Linked DNA regions of Struthio camelus. The protein of the gene in region 1 interacts with the protein of each later gene in a pairwise test. Links are inferred from orthologs where the notes say so. Each region holds a gene or a part of one and is shown in the gene's direction. Other genes may lie near its edges.

Region 1 (7,498 bases):
TTGAACTGTCAAACAGGTGAGGAATGAACTTGACTCCTCAGCTCCAAAGGCTGGGCAAAACCCTCCTGGCTTACTTGCAGCCCAGAGTAGCAGCAGAAGGGAGGTGGCCAGAAACAAAGCACCTCCTGACTGCCACTCTGAGCTCACCCAGCAACTGGCTCTGGAAGCTGGGCTGGAGTGCTTTCCCTGTGTCCTTGCCAGAGCCAGGGACAAAACCTGAAAGAAAAGCCTCTTTGTTGAGCTAATTTTGAGAAAAGCCAGCGCAGTGGGTGGAACACCTTGTTTCAGCTGCCCTGGCATGCACGTGCAGCCTTTGCTCCTAACATAGCGCTGTGTAGGTCCTGCCTGTTGCTCACTAAGGCCCAGAATGGCCTTTGAAGACAAACACAATACTGTGTACCATGCAAAATTTGTCTTAGCCCTTGCTGCTGCGGAGGGCAGCCAGTCTCTCCCTCTGCCGAAGGGTCTCTGCCCCTTGCGCTCGGTGTCTGTCTGCACTGGGTGTCTGGAGCGTCCTGGCTGACTCACCTTACCCTGGCAGCCGCAGCCGGACTGCACGCTGCTTGGCGTGGGGAGCTGTTGCAAAGGAGCCGCTTGTTCTGCTTTGTTTGAGAGCTGGAGGGGTGACAAGGTGAGTGTCCCCAGTGTTCTGCCTGGGAGACAGAGCAGTTCTCTGCTCCCTGCAGCGTGGGGAACTGAGCTGGAGGATTTGAGTTGATTTTATTTAAGCAATGGTGGCGTTCCCAAAGGGGTCAAAAAGGGTGTTTGTACTGAGTGCACTGGGAAATGCTGGGGGGATCCTAACCCCGTTTCCTCCCGTGCAGGCCTGGCTTTCCGGGAGGGCTGCCAGCGCGGAGCGGGGCGCTCACCCCGGAGGACAGGGCCCTTCCTGGCGGGGGAGCCACGCCCTGACAGAAGGAGCATTTGCAGCATCGAGGACGAAAATTGTTTTCTTCCACGGCCTTTCGCGACCCGGCACACGAGAGGGCTGTGGGTATTAGTGGCGTTACAGCGGGCCCGGCGCCGCGGGGGGCGGGAGGCAGAGCCGCGGCCGGGCGAGGGGCTGCGGGGGCTCCCGCCCGGCTCGGGCCCGCGCAGCTCCGCGGGAAGCCCCGCCGCGGCCCTGGGGTTCGGCCCCGCCGCCGCCGCCAGGCAGCGCTGCGCCCCCAGCGCTGCCGCTCGGCTGCGGGGGAAGCCAGGGCGCGTCCGAGGCTGCCAGGCCGGGCCGCGCCGGGCCAGCTCTCCGCCTCCCGGGGCTGCCGCTGACCTGCCCCGGGCCCGGGCGATGCCCTGCTCGCCTGCAGCTGCAAAGAAATCGCGGAAGAGGCCTGTCCCGCACAGGGCTTGGGCTGGGGGCTATCGCTGCCAGGCCACCGCCACGGCCTGCCCGCTGCCACGGCCTGGCCGTCATGACTACTTGGCCACCAGTCCAGCCTGGGGCCACTGCTATGGCCTGCCCAGCACGATGACCCAGCCATCGCAGCCGTCACAGCATCACTGCCCACCGCCGTGGCCTGGCCACTGCCATATCTTGGCCACCACTACGGTTTGGCCACTGCTGCGGCCTGGCCAGCATGACAGTCTGGCCACCGCTATGGCCTGGCCTTCACCATGGCCTGGCCACTACTGTAGCCTGGCCAGTACAGTTGCCCACCCACTACTGTGGCCTGGCCATCGCCAGAGCCTGGCCACCTCAGCAGTCCTGGCCACCACTGTGGCCTGGCCACCATGGCTTCACCAGTGCTGCAGCCAGGAAGAGGGCGAGGGGGCTGCCCCAGGGGATCATGGCGTTACTAGTGAGTGATGAGTCAAGGCTTTGTACAAAGCTGTGCTAAAGGGGAAACTATATGCAACTGTTTTCAAATCTTGTCCATTAGCTTTGATAAGTCACAGTTTAATGAAATAGCTGAAGAAATAAAACCTAATCTGTTCTTCTTTGAAAGTTGAGCAAAGCATCATATGGATAATTTTATTAGCAGAATCAAGGTTAAATGAACACTTTGTCAACAGAGAACTGGCAGCCAGCACAAGGAACAAAAGGCATTTCTTTACTTGCAGCCACCTCATGCCTGTTGGCCACAGTAGTATGAATGGATCTAGAGGCAGAAGTGTGACCTGATCTGCGCCAGCAGGAGTTCAAGAAAACAGTTTGCCTAGTAAGTGAAGATGCAGTCCTAAGAACTGTTTCTCCCATCCTGGCCACTTCTCCTTGCCATAGCTCTGTGCTGTTCCTGCCTCTCATTCCCTTGTATGCTGCCCCTTGAAGCAGGAGATCTTGACACCCACAGCATCAACCCTCAGGGCAGCTGTGCTGGGGACAGGGCAAGTGCAGATGTACGTGGTAGATCTGAGGTTCTCTGAGCCACTGGAGGAAAATTTAGGAGAGCAATGCATGAAAGCCCAGAAAGAGGGCAGCAGGGAGGAACTGTCAAAATTCTTCAGGACCAAGTTTATCTAGTGAAAAAGATGTGTTTGGAGATGGTGTGGTGGAGAGGGTAAACCTGGTGGTAATGATGCACTACAGCAGCACCCATGAAATGGTTCTGTGTTTAGGACCTGCTGCATGAAGCATCCAATGTTGTTCTCATCAGGAAATGGTGGTGATTTGCCTTCAAAGTTCCCCATGTCGGGGGGCTGACCTAGCACTGCAGCACAGGAGGAGCCCAGGCCATGCACTACCCCCTTGAGTTCTAGCCACAGTAGCCATCTCCTGGCCACCTCGCTTCGGGCTTTGTCCTGAGATGGAGGGGGGCACGTGAGTGTAGCTGGTGGAGCCCAGCTTACCACCATCCTCCTGCTGACCCTATTCTGCTGCCATGTTCCTGCTGGGTGCATTGGGTAGCAACCAGCCAAGAAAGTACCTAAAGGGCTCCCAGGATTTTCCTCTGAATTTCAGTCTCTCCATTAACACTGATATGTTGTGATTTACCAACCAGCCAGTGCACATTCATTTCATACTCGTACATCAATTTTCTACAATAGGCCAAAGGCATCTTGCCTTTTTCAGCCTCTAAAATCAATCCGGGTCCTATGAATATTTAATTTAGGCTTTTTGATTTCTTGGTAGAATCATTTAAAGAGAAAAGCAGGGTTTGTTCAGGTTGTCTCATCAATGTATATGTACAGTTCCAGGAATTTTAAATGTGTGAACCTGAAGGATCACAGAGAACAGATTTTTCTCATGACAGTTGGAGGTTTGATGACTAGGCATTTTCCAAGGGAAAAGGAAGCAGAGTTCTGCTGGGAAATTTCTGCTTGACTCAAATCAGGCTGTTTCAGGACATGAAAAGGCTGATCCTGTGCAGAGTCATGCCTGGCACTGGTTTTTCTTGAGTTTCTCCATGGCAAAGGGCTGCTGGAAGGAGGAAACCGAGGTGCACCCCAGCAGGAGGGCCTCTGGGTTAACCCAAGGATCCCAATCTCATCCAAGGGCAGCTGGAGCTCAGGCCAGTGGCCCTGAGGCATGAAGATGGAACCAGCTGGCCCTGTGCCACTCTGGTCCCATGGGAATCCCTGTGTTTCCTGGGCAACTGGACCAGGGCCCTCCGGCTCTGGCAGCTCCCAAGTTGTGCATGCAGAACTCCCTGCAGATAGGCCTGCCAGGAGCATGGGGTTCGGGAGAAGCCATTTTGTTTTGATCCCATCCTCTGCTGTTAAGCAGGCAGGTGGAAAAAAAGGGCTGTGGGAAGCACCTCCCAGACACTGCCAGTTCCCCCAGAAAGCACCTATTTACACAGCAAACCATGAGCTGTATGAATGCACTGGGCTATGGCTGCCGGTGGCCCAGCACGGGCCAAAAGGCACCTGGGGGCGAAGGCAGTGCCATGCCAGCGTGGCAGCCCTGGGTACTTGGAGCTGAGGAGTTAGTGGGGGCTGGTGAGCCCTCTCTGCCCTGTCACCTCCAGCATGGGGGAAAGCTGCAGCTGCTGGTCGGGGGCTGCGGGTGTGTCCAGCTCGCCATGCTGCACTACCTGCTTGAGCCCCACAGGCTGGTGAGGAGCCTGGGGTCCCCCAGAGCAGACCATGCCACTGCCCCTCCTGCCCCATCTCTGGGTGGGGGGTTTGGCGAAGCCCCGCAGGGGAGCCCCCAAACCATGCTGTCTGCTGGAGCCCCAGGACTGGGTGCTGCCTCTGTGCTGGGCCCCCCCGTGTGAGCACCCTCGTCGGGGCTGCCCTGCCGTGTGGCCCGAGGCGAGCCCCCAGATGTGAGCCCCAGGCGTGAGCCCAGCTGAGCCCTGAGTGTGATCCCCGGCTTATTTCCCCCAGAGGCGATTCCCCAGATGTTATTCTCAGGGGTGATCCCCAGGTGCGACCCCCCCCCCCCAGGCGTAAACCTCCTAGATGTGACCTCCCTCCTTAATACCCCCCCCAGGTGCGACCCCCCCCCCCAGCCCCGACCACGCGCCCCACGCGCCCCACGCGCCCCCCGGCGCGGCCGTTCCCAGCGGCCCGCGGGGCCGCGCCCCCCCCGCCCGGCTGCGGCGCATGTGCCGTCCCGCCCCTCCCAGCGCGGCGGCCGGAGAGCGGCGGCGCCGAGCGGGCAGGCAGCATGAAGGACCGGACCGGGGAGTTGCGCGCTGTGAGTACCGCGGCGGCGCGGGGCTGCGGCCCCGGTAGGGCGGGCGGCGGCGGCCGCCGCCCCCCAGGTCGTCCCGCTGCCCTGGGGGCTCCGTGGGGGTCCCGGGTGGTGGCGGCCCAGGGGCTGGGCAGCCCCGGCGGGGGCGGTGCCGGCGCGCCCAGCCGGTCCCGGCCCGCGGCCCTGCCCGTAGGGCGCCGCGGCACCTGCCGCGGGATCGCCCGGCTCGGCGGGGGCGACCCGCTCTTGCATCGCCCCCGGCCCGGCGACCAGCTTCCCCCCGCAGCGGTATCGGGGAATCCGTCCGGGGGCCCTGGGACCCCGCGGAGCGCGACCGGGGCCTCCTCGGTGCCCGCGGGGCCCCTGCCGTGCCCACCCCCGCGCAGGACTCGGGCCCAGCCGGGTGCGAGGCGCTCGCCTGCCGCGCGAGGCCCGTGGACGCGGGAGCTCGCGCGAACGCGGCCCTGCGCCTCGCTAGCGCGCCCGGTGCCGCCTGGCGTCGGCGCTGCCCACGGGCTTTGCACGGACGTGCGTGCATCTGCTGCGTGGGGAGCATTCGCGCTTGGAAACCCCCTGCCGGGAGAGGGGATGAGGAACAGTCGATCTCGGGGAGAGGTGTTTCCCCCAAGCAGGACGAGGTACCCTGAGCACAGAAATGGGAAAAGGAGCATAAGCTGATTCGTTAGGTCATTGTATACTGATGCAGTCACGAGTGGTCTAGACAGCAAGGCTTTTTCCAATGTAAACACCTTGTACCTCTTCTCCTTTCTCCCCTTGATTGCTGTTTGTGTGTTTGTGGGTTTTTTTTTCTTTTTGGGCATCTGTCTCTTGATGCTTTTGTTTTCTTTTCTTTTTTTTAGTTAGAGTTGCTGTACGCATAGCTGTGTAAGGCAGCAGGGTGCTGAATGCTTTCAGCTGGTGCTGCCACTGAAGGACATCATCTCTCTTCCTCTGGTCCAGCCCCTGCTTGTGCAGCCACGTGATGAACTGCTTCAGGGACTGATCTAGCTGAAAACTAACCCAGCCTTAAAAAAAACCCCATATATATATATATATATATATATATATATATATATATATATATATAAAATTTTATAATATATATATATATATATTATATATATTTTTCATCTAGGCTAGTTTGTATGGAAGAGCCTTTATATATGGGGATGTCATGAGGGCAAGAGTGTGCTAGCAGAGCAGGGAAAGGGTCTTTTCCTGTGGCTTCGTTAGACAGCAGGGCTAGCCCTGGCTGCCTGATTTCAGCCTGTAGTTTTCTTCCCAGGTTGGTTTCTCTGGTGCTCGCCCATTTTGCTTTTTCATTCTTTTCAATCTGCTGATGTCATCTGGCTAAGGAAGAGCCCAGAACTGCATAGCGTTTTAGGTGCAGTCTCACTGGTGTGTAACACAGACGCTGTTGCACTCTTGTTTTTTGCCCAGCCATTGCACACCTGCAGCCAAAGCCTCACTGGTGCTGCTGCTCCTGTGTTATGCTCTTTCTCTTCTGTCTTCTGGTATGTGAGCCTTGTGCGTTCTGTGAGGCTGCAGCCGAACGCTGCAGAATCTCAGCAGTTCCTGTAGAAAAGATGTTCTCCAACTTTCCTTGCTCCTGGAGTAACCTTTGAAAGAAGAGCTAAGTGAATGAATGATGCCAGATATGCCTGTGTTTGAAGGTGGTTTCAAACAATAACAAAGTGATGTAAACAGCTACATTGAGGTCAACTGAGTGTTAACCTGGCACTTCATGGTACTCCTAAAAATAACTGTTCTCAGCTTTTCTACTTTGGGTTGTATACTATGCAACACCTTTTTTTGTTAAGGCCAATAGGTATTTAGCATCTTTAGAGGAGCTGCACCTTGCACGCTGGATAAAACTCCAGCCAGTATTAGTGTCCCAAGAGAAGGGTAGCTTTATGTCTCCCAGAGATCATGGTGAAGTCTGGAAGATCCAGGCTGTGCGCAGTGTCTTAAATTCAAATCCTGCTTTAAGAAGGAATGAATTAGATTATAACTCTTTATTTTGTTTGTTTGTTTTATTTTTTGTTACTTCATCACTGGGTCTGATTAGCTGTCTCTGGCACACAGGGACCAGAGTGAAGGGAAGGAGAGAGCATGTTGGGGAGAGGAGGTGGGTTTCAAGTGGGGAGAGGATCTGTTGTGCAATCTCTGCTGCTCTACCATCTGAAGGGAGGATATAACTTGCAAGAAGGGAGGGGAGTGGTTGAAAAATAAAGGAAAAGGTAAGCTGAATAGTTGGGAGAACTTCTGGTGTTGAGGCCAGGCAAGTCTCTAGAGACTCCACTTGGATGTCTTAGTCTGGAAGAAGTCAGAAATGTGGAGCTCTTTCGTATTTCTGTGACGTCAGCATGGGGAAGCAGGGCGTGGGTATATATGCTTGAGGAGGAAGGGACTATATAAAGAAAAAAATGCACCCGTTCTGTTCAGCCAAAGTAATTGGAAAGCACCCAAGACAAGCAAGTCTTCTCCTGTACAGTGCAGACTGAAATAAAATCAGAAAATAGGCTTTTTTAATAATAATAGTAAAAAGCAGTCCCATGAATGTCCTGTTGGCAGCCAGTGCTGGCTGAGAAGTGATACTGCTAGGGTATTTTAAAATCTCTCCGTGTCTTTAAATATGTTTTTTTTTTTTTAAAAAAAAAAAAAAGTGCTTTAGCTTCTATTCTGCTGATGTTCCTTATTCAGTGAAATTTCTGTAGCTTAGTGTGTAATGATGAATAAAGCCTGGGAGTGGGGTGGCGTTCTGCTCAGCAAAGAGGCTTTCTTGCATCTCGCTTCCTGGGGCTCCCTCCTTGCCAGCATCGCGTCTCGCATGTCTGCAGCAGTGGGGTGGCTGCTGGGTGTGTGCTGGGGAAAGGCCGTACCCCTGTGTGCATCCTGCAGGGTCTGTGCCAGGGCTCCCAG
Region 2 (7,465 bases), on another chromosome or scaffold:
AAAAAAATAATATAGAAAAACAAAACAAAAATCCGAACATGGAATAAATCCTATTTTTCAATGTGGAGAAACTGAGGAAAAAGTTTTGATCCTCTTACAATCAGGCTGTGAGGACATCGTTCTTGGTTTTCACAGGTATGTGTCCTTCCACAAAGGAAAGCATTTCAATGCACAAAAGCAAGAAAAAGGGGAGAAGAAGGTAGGCATCTCTCCCTTCTGGTATGTAACAGTTACACCCAGATAGTAAGAGTTTGAGTCATGTTTCTGGGATGACTAAAAGAAAGGACTTGCATTTCAGAAACGTTCCTATCAAAAAGCTCTGGGAGCTACGCACACGCAAGAAGGAAGTCAGAAAGTCTTCTGTACACCAAAAGAAGAGCTGTGCCCATGACTCTCGGGCATCTGGAAAGGCACAGAGCTAGCTGGGGGTTACCACCCAGAAAGGCAACATCGCCTGGCCCAGCACATGGTTGGACAGAGCATCCTGCCTGGCTGGGGCGTTACGGTCACTAACACCCCTGGAAAACCTGCATACAACAGCTGCCTACCAGATATTTTTTTCATGGTTGCCATCACCAGAAGAATAAACATGTCAAAGACGCATTAGATGTTTTCTGCAACGGGCAGAAGAGAACGGGAGACGAGCACCAGTGCAAAACACCATCTAAGCTTGTAGTTCATACAAAGCACACTGCTGCAGAATAATGCTATAGCTCTTTACTATTATTCTTCCACAGGTTACACACAGCCTTTTCACACAAGAAAGCTCTGCAGAGGCACCAAAAGAGCTTTCCAGATTTTACTGAAGACCTCCAAGCGGAATGAACTTTCAATAAATCAAACCCCCAGGGAGACCCTTGTTGAAAAGCAGCCCTTTAGAGAACTGCCTCCCACAGTCCAGTTCTCAGCCGTCATTTGGACGGCACACACCACATCTGCACGAGGACCTCCATCTATATACCCACCCACACAATTCAAGGCTTCCTACCAGCCACACAGTACAACCCACCAAAAGTCCTTTACCCTTAACTCTCTTTACCGGCAAGCTCTGTCCAGGCGAACATCCCACAACACATCACATTCCCCAAGATACACATGTGGTAAAGAGAAATAACAACAGTAACTCAGATCCAGGACTGTACTGTATCAGTACAGCCACAGCCTGCTCCAGGCACTGCTTCTACCCAGGTCCTTCTGCTCCAACTCACCATATAAGAAATGGAGTAAGATTTATCATAACAAAAAAAGGAAGGAAGCAACGCTCCCTCCCCAAACACGCATCCTTGTTCCGCATATCCTCTGACTTTCCACCAAGTTCAAACTTCTCATCAACCACAGAGCCTGTCCTGTCAACAGAGACTCAGAGGGGAACTCGTAACTGGTGGAAATTTCAGAAGATACCAAGGCAGTTCCACACCACCTGACCACACAGCAAAGCCCGCTCTCCTCTGCGCTCTCCTTTCACATCCCAGTAGCTGTCTGCCTGAACAATATGCTCATTTTGAATACTGTTTCCCCCGGAGAACAGTTTTCTTCCCAATCTCTCTCACTTTAACGTCTTAAACACCCTCGTCTCACAGGAAAAATTATTACAATATGAACTTAAAATACAGCGGCAGTAGTATAACCTAGAGGTTTTCAAACTCCTTCCTTCTCCAACATATTTTTGTGCAAAGCCTTTAATAAAATGCAAAGCGTCAACCTTATGTAGCATCACAAGACACAGTGCTAAATAGTTAGAAACAGCAGAATTTAGCATCCAGACTTTGCACGCCCCCTGCTACTACAGAATTCACTGATTGCCCAGCCTGTGCAGCACAGCACACACATTACCGTACAATCAGACTAACATCTCTGTGAAAGCGGCCATCTCATCTGCTTCTGACTTAATTTTAGATTAACAAAACGCTTGTCATGCACAGCTACAATTGCAGACCTTACACAGGACTCTCATGCACGGGGAAAGCATCCACACAGCCCATGTGGAGCAGTTCACATCCAGCTGGCCTGAGGTAAGGCCTGGTCATCCTATCACTAGTGGTGGACAGGACAGCTGTATGTCTGCCTACCCTCCTGGGCTCCAGGAGAATAGGTCATCCAGGAGCAGCAAGCAAAGGTGATAGCAGTAAGAGGGATGACACCAGAGGGACCCACCACCACCACGCCTGAACTCTCTCTTAGTTAAGAGCTACATTCCCAGCAGGTCCCAATTGCCCCACTCCTCCCACCACTGCCTCAGGCCACAGGGTTGCAATCCAACCATTTCCACCAGCCCCTGCTTCACAGCTTGCCTCAGTGACTCCAAGCTTTGCTCCTTGAACTCCAGTTCTGCCCCACCTGCACAGATATCCACATTTCCTTCACATCACCCAGATTCCTACAGGCACCTCAACCAGCTGCCAGCCACCTGCTGCCTGCCTGACCCAAAGACATTTCAACAAGCAAGATGCCACCACCTCCACGCCCCACCACACACCAAGGCAGGGCCAGTGTCCTTATGCTGCATTGTCCCAGTCACATACAGATTCACAAACAAGCAAGCTATGTTGTGAGCTAGTTCTCATATCTGCAAGTATCAGCATAAATGATAATGCAGAACTGAAAGTCCTTGACAGCTACGGACATTTGTTTTTTCTTTTAATAAGCACTGTTGCAAGGTCAGATGTGATGGAAACCCAACGATGTTCCTAAAGTCAGGGTGCAATGGAGACAGCAGTTTTCAAAGTAGTGTTATCAGAGCGCCTATAATGTCCTCTACACACCACAAGGACCGATGGGTGGATGCGCTTTCCCTGAAAGGCTGTGAATACTTCACAGGAACCAAAAGCTAGCGCGAAAATGAAAAGCGTGCCAACTATTCCACCATCTCCTTCCATAAGGCACTCCTTCCGCAGCAAAGGGACTCCTTGAAAAGGGACCCATGCCGCTTGGTGCTAGTCCCCTTCCAAGGCCACGTTTCTCAGCAGAAAAAAGGGCTAAACAAGAGACAAGCAGAGAAAGTTGCTGCACAACAGATACTCCAAGGCGCTGCCAGGAGAGATAAGCTGTCATAAACCAAGACCCTCCAAAATTGCAGGACTCGGGTTTTCTCCTACCTCGCGCTATCTTCCTGCCCATGTTGTCAAAGCACTGTTACCCTGGGGAATGTATAACCAAGATAGTTACCATGAGCGAAACGTTAGCCCTGCGAGACAGGGGACACGGCCACCGAGTCTAACCCACTGCCTAGATGGCACAAAAGGTAAGGGGGGGCTTGAGAGGCTTTATAAGCTTTACGTTACTGCCAGGTCGGCCGGGAGACTCGGTTCCCTTATTGTTCGCTTGGTGCGTCCCCACGAGACAAGAGGCGCGCTGCATGGCACGCTGCAATCCTCAGCCGCGGTTGTTCCGGCCAGACACAATAAGGGCAAATTTTACAGAACCTAGCAGGGATTTTCCCTCCCGCACAGGCTTTAAAAATAAAAATAAAAATAAAAGGAAAAAGGAAAAGCCCAGCAGGAATTGCATCCGCGCTGACCAGAGACGCGGCAGAGCGGCCGCAGCGGACCGATGCGCAGCCGGGCAGCTGCCGCAGGGCACGGCCGCCTCTAACGGGACCGGCCGCGGGCGGCGGCGCCCGGGCAGGCGCCGGGGCTGCCTGGGGGCAACGGCGGGGGGAGGTCACCCAGGCCCTGCGCCCCCACCCCGCCCCGAACCCCGGGTGGGGGGGGGGACCTGCCCCCCACCCCGGCAGCAACCGGCAGCACGGGAGCCGGGCGGCCCCGCGCCTGAAGGGAGGGGGGGGGGGGCGCGGGCAGGCGCCGGGCCTCGCGGCGGGGCACGGGCTCCTCTGCCCGCCGCCGTGGGGAGGGGCGGGGGGGGGCGGCCGCCGCCGGTACCTGGGGACGCAGCTGGGGCTGGAGCCGTCGATCTCCCAGGTGGCGAAGAGGTTCATAGGCACGGGCCGCCCCAGGGCCCCGGCGCCGCCTGGGAAGCTGAGGCGGCCCCGCTCCGCCGCCGCCGCCATGGCTGCCGGCCTGGCGCGCGCCCACCGGGCCGCCGCTCGCCTGCGCCGCCGCCCCGCCCCGCCTCGCGGCGGGGAGGTCACGTGAAGGGGCGGGGCTTGGGGAGGGGGCGGGGCTTGGGGAGGGGGCGGCAGGGGGCGGGGCTTATCTTGGGGAAAGCGAGGCTAAAGCGGGGAGGGGGGGTTGTGGGAGGCGTGGTTAAAATGCAGGGATTGGGCGGGGCGGGGTCGTGATAGGCGGGGTTTCGTCGGAGGGGCGGGGCTTGGAGGGGCGGGGCCCCGCGCCGCAGGAGCCGCCCGGTGCGGCGGTGCCGGCTGCGCCGAGCGCGGGCCCCGCCCCGCCCCGCCCCGCCCCGCCCCCGGCGGCGGCGGCCCTTCAGCTTCGGGGCCGTGTTTCCGGCCGGACGCGGTGCTGGCGCGGGGCCGGAAGTGCCCGGGCGGCTTCTCGCGGAGGGGCCGGATGTTGCGCTGGCGGTTTCCGTCCATCTCCGTGGCAGGGGCGGGCGGCGGCGGCGGCGGCGGCGCGCAGCGGGGCGCGGAGATGGTGCTGCTCACGATGATCGCCCGCGTGGCGGACGGGCTCCCGCTGGCCGCCTCCATGCAGGAGGACGAGCAGGTGCGGGCGTGCTGCGCCGCGGCTGGGCGGGGGCGGGCCCGGCGCGGTGTGTCGGTGGGGCGCGGGCCGGGGGCTGGGCCTGGGGCCCCGGCGGGGCAGGATTGGGGGGTGGGGGGCGGCCGCGGTGCCGCCGGCGGTGCCCTGCTGCCGCTGCTCGGCCTGGCGGGGCGGCTCGGGCCGCGGGCGGCCGCCGCCAACCGCCTGCCCTCCCCTCTCAGTCAGGCCGCGACCTGCAGCAGTACCAGAGCCAGGCGAAGCAGCTGTTCCGCAAGCTGAACGAGCAGTCCCCCACGAGGTGCACTCTCGAGGCCGGAGCCATGGCCTTCCAGTGAGTATCCCGAGGCGCCAGCCGGGAGGTGCCCCAAGGTGCTGCTGGGTCTCTGCCAGCTGCAACGTTGTGTGGGTGCTTTAAGAAGGGAGCGTCTAAGTTGTTCCTCGCTGGCAGTGTTTCCTGGCACTCGCTTTTCATCCCCTTTCTTATTATTCTGTGGCCTTGGCTGTAGACTATGTAGGTTGTGTTTCCCTTAAGCCTTCTCTGTGGGTTTGCACCCTCCCATATTGCTTTTTACCCTTCGTGGATTTCCTGTGGCTTCAGTGTCTTTCTCCTCTTAAAAAGAGAAGTCCTTGCTGAAAGCAGGCTAGCACCACCACTGTGAGCTCTTCCTGCACAAGACTCTCCTCTATGCATATCCCACAAGGGTATACCTTTTCATGCCTTAGTTTTACATGTAGAAACGCATACAGCTTCTCTGGCTTTTTTATTTTGTTAATTTCCTTAACATCTGACAAGCTTTCTCCCCCACAAAAATAATGGATTTGATTACATTGTTGCCAAATGTGTTGGTTATGTTTAATCTCCTAAATTACCTGAAAGCTTGTAGCTTAAAAACATCTTTGGCTTTTCCCAGTAACACATTAATAAGGGAATTTGAATATAAAATAATGAAAACTTATAGCAAAGGTGGGTCAGACATCCTTAACTGCTAATGAATAGCAAGGGGACTGTGAATGAAAGGTAAAAGAGGAAGAATTTGCAGCCAATGAAAGGAAGAAGAGCAGGCAAGCTCCTATTTGAGAAAATGAAAAGCTTCTTTACAATGGCATGTAATTACTGAACAGATAAATTGCTGGAGGATTTAATCAAGGCCAAGATCTTGTCAAGAATCAGAATTATGCTCTTAGCAGAAATAATTATGCTATAAAAACAAGCCCGTGTGGGATCAGCAAGGCAGAGTTGTGCAAATTTCTTTTGCCAGTGATATGCAAAGCTTCATAACACTTAGCACCACTTCTGCTGCCTCCCCAGCCTCCCCCAGTTCCCCATCCCCGGTGAGCAGGGGCACGTTTGTGGTCGGGTGAGTGGGAGACACCCTTTGAATCCTGGGCAAGGCATGACTTTAGGGCTCTGATTCTCTCACGGGGGCCCTTTAACAGCTCTCCTGCCCTGCCCCTTAAATGTTCAGAGATGCATTGACATGGAAAGACAAGAACAGAAGCTTTTGGAAGGGCTATAGGCCAGCTCTTGGGCAAAAACCATGAGGTTTTGGGGCCAATGTTTCTTATGGTTGACTTACATATGTTCAACTATTATGGTTTTTTTTCCTCCTCCCCTGGCTTCTGGTTGCCCTTGATAATAGGGGCTATAATGGGTCAGGTGGGGCACTGATTCAAATAGTCTGGCCGTTCCTATCTGCTTGTGCAGCTTGGACGTTGTTCCCAGAGTTAACTGCAAAATGCTGCTCAGCATCTTCTAGAAATCTGTCAGTTTGTAAGTGTTTCTCTGGCACTGCACCGTGTCTGGTGTCCCTGGGTGTCACTCTGACTGGGGGGGCTTTGGGGAAAGAGCCTTTGTAGTTCGTAGTAAATCCCTTGCTGTGTTGCTTCCCGTGCTACTAGAACAACGTCCAGGAAGGCTGTTCTGGTTGTGCTGCCCAGAAAACCAGAACCTCCTTCCGGTGGCTTTAACCTCACCGGGTCTGAAGAGCCAGGGTAATTTGGGCAGGTTCATGTTTGGACAGCAGGCTCCAAGAAACAACAAGGTTGTATAGCTGGCTGGGAAGGGGGGAAAGGAGCGTCTCCCTACTGCATTGAGTCAATCCACAGGCAACTGAGAGCTGCAAAGCAGTCAAGCGATGGCTCTTTTAAGAGAGAACATTCAGGCAGGACCTATGTGAAAAGACGACGACTTTCAGGTCAGAAAAAGATGTCTCCTGTGATAACGCTACATGAAGGAGAAGAGAGGGAGGAGTTTGAGACCTAGTCTAAAATAATGCTGACTTTTAAATTAGAGCTGTGGCTGCTGAGGACAGCATAACCCAGGACAAAACATTTTGTGATGTAAAACATAAAAGTACGGCTAAGGCTATTGCTGAACTTGCTGAAGTGATGTTGAGCACTTCTAGCTTGATCAATTCAGAGAAAAGTCTCATTTTTTGACAAAATGTGAAGCTCACACTAAGACTGCTGAAGCAAGTTCTCTCAAATGTAATGTTTAGATTTTCAGATCTGAAAGCTGTGCTGTCCTTTGAGCTACAGTACTTAGCACACAGGGCCATGCAGGTGCAGAAGCACCTGTGTAGTAGACTGCTGTGCTGTCAGTCATTAGTTGACCTTTGGCTGGTTAGTGGTGTAAGCGCTACTAACCTGTCATGTTGAAAACAACTCTTGGCCTTTGACTCTGATACCAGTTATAAGGATTAAGCTTTTCTGTTTCAAAAAGGTCTAAAATAAAATAAATCTAGCAGCTAAAATTAGCGTGTGGAAATCTGTAGTATAGAAGTTGTAAGTGGCAAACTGCAATGTCTGCCCCTTGCGTGCGTACATTGCCAAGCAGACTGCGTGATCAG

Evidence for each region. The genes of interacting proteins can lie anywhere in the genome.
Region 2: the proteins of STX1A (region 1) and SEC22B interact in binary tests that used the Homo sapiens proteins (3 or more experiments, as listed by UniProt). The link is inferred for Struthio camelus from reciprocal best matches to the Homo sapiens genes STX1A and SEC22B.

The regions. Positions count from the first base shown.
Region 1 is NC_090957.1:9,028,259-9,035,756, reverse strand, and holds the start of STX1A (syntaxin-1A), read left to right. Parts: upstream 1-4,484; 5' UTR 4,485-4,549; coding exon 4,550-4,579; intron 4,580-7,498. UniProt on the Homo sapiens protein: Plays an essential role in hormone and neurotransmitter calcium-dependent exocytosis and endocytosis.
Region 2 is NC_090949.1:9,408,214-9,415,678, reverse strand, and holds the start of SEC22B (vesicle-trafficking protein SEC22b), read left to right. Parts: upstream 1-4,373; 5' UTR 4,374-4,463; coding exon 4,464-4,619; intron 4,620-4,837; coding exon 4,838-4,947; intron 4,948-7,465. Other genes in the region: PACS2 (phosphofurin acidic cluster sorting protein 2), read right to left, coding at 3,879-4,006. UniProt on the Homo sapiens protein: SNARE involved in targeting and fusion of ER-derived transport vesicles with the Golgi complex as well as Golgi-derived retrograde transport vesicles with the ER.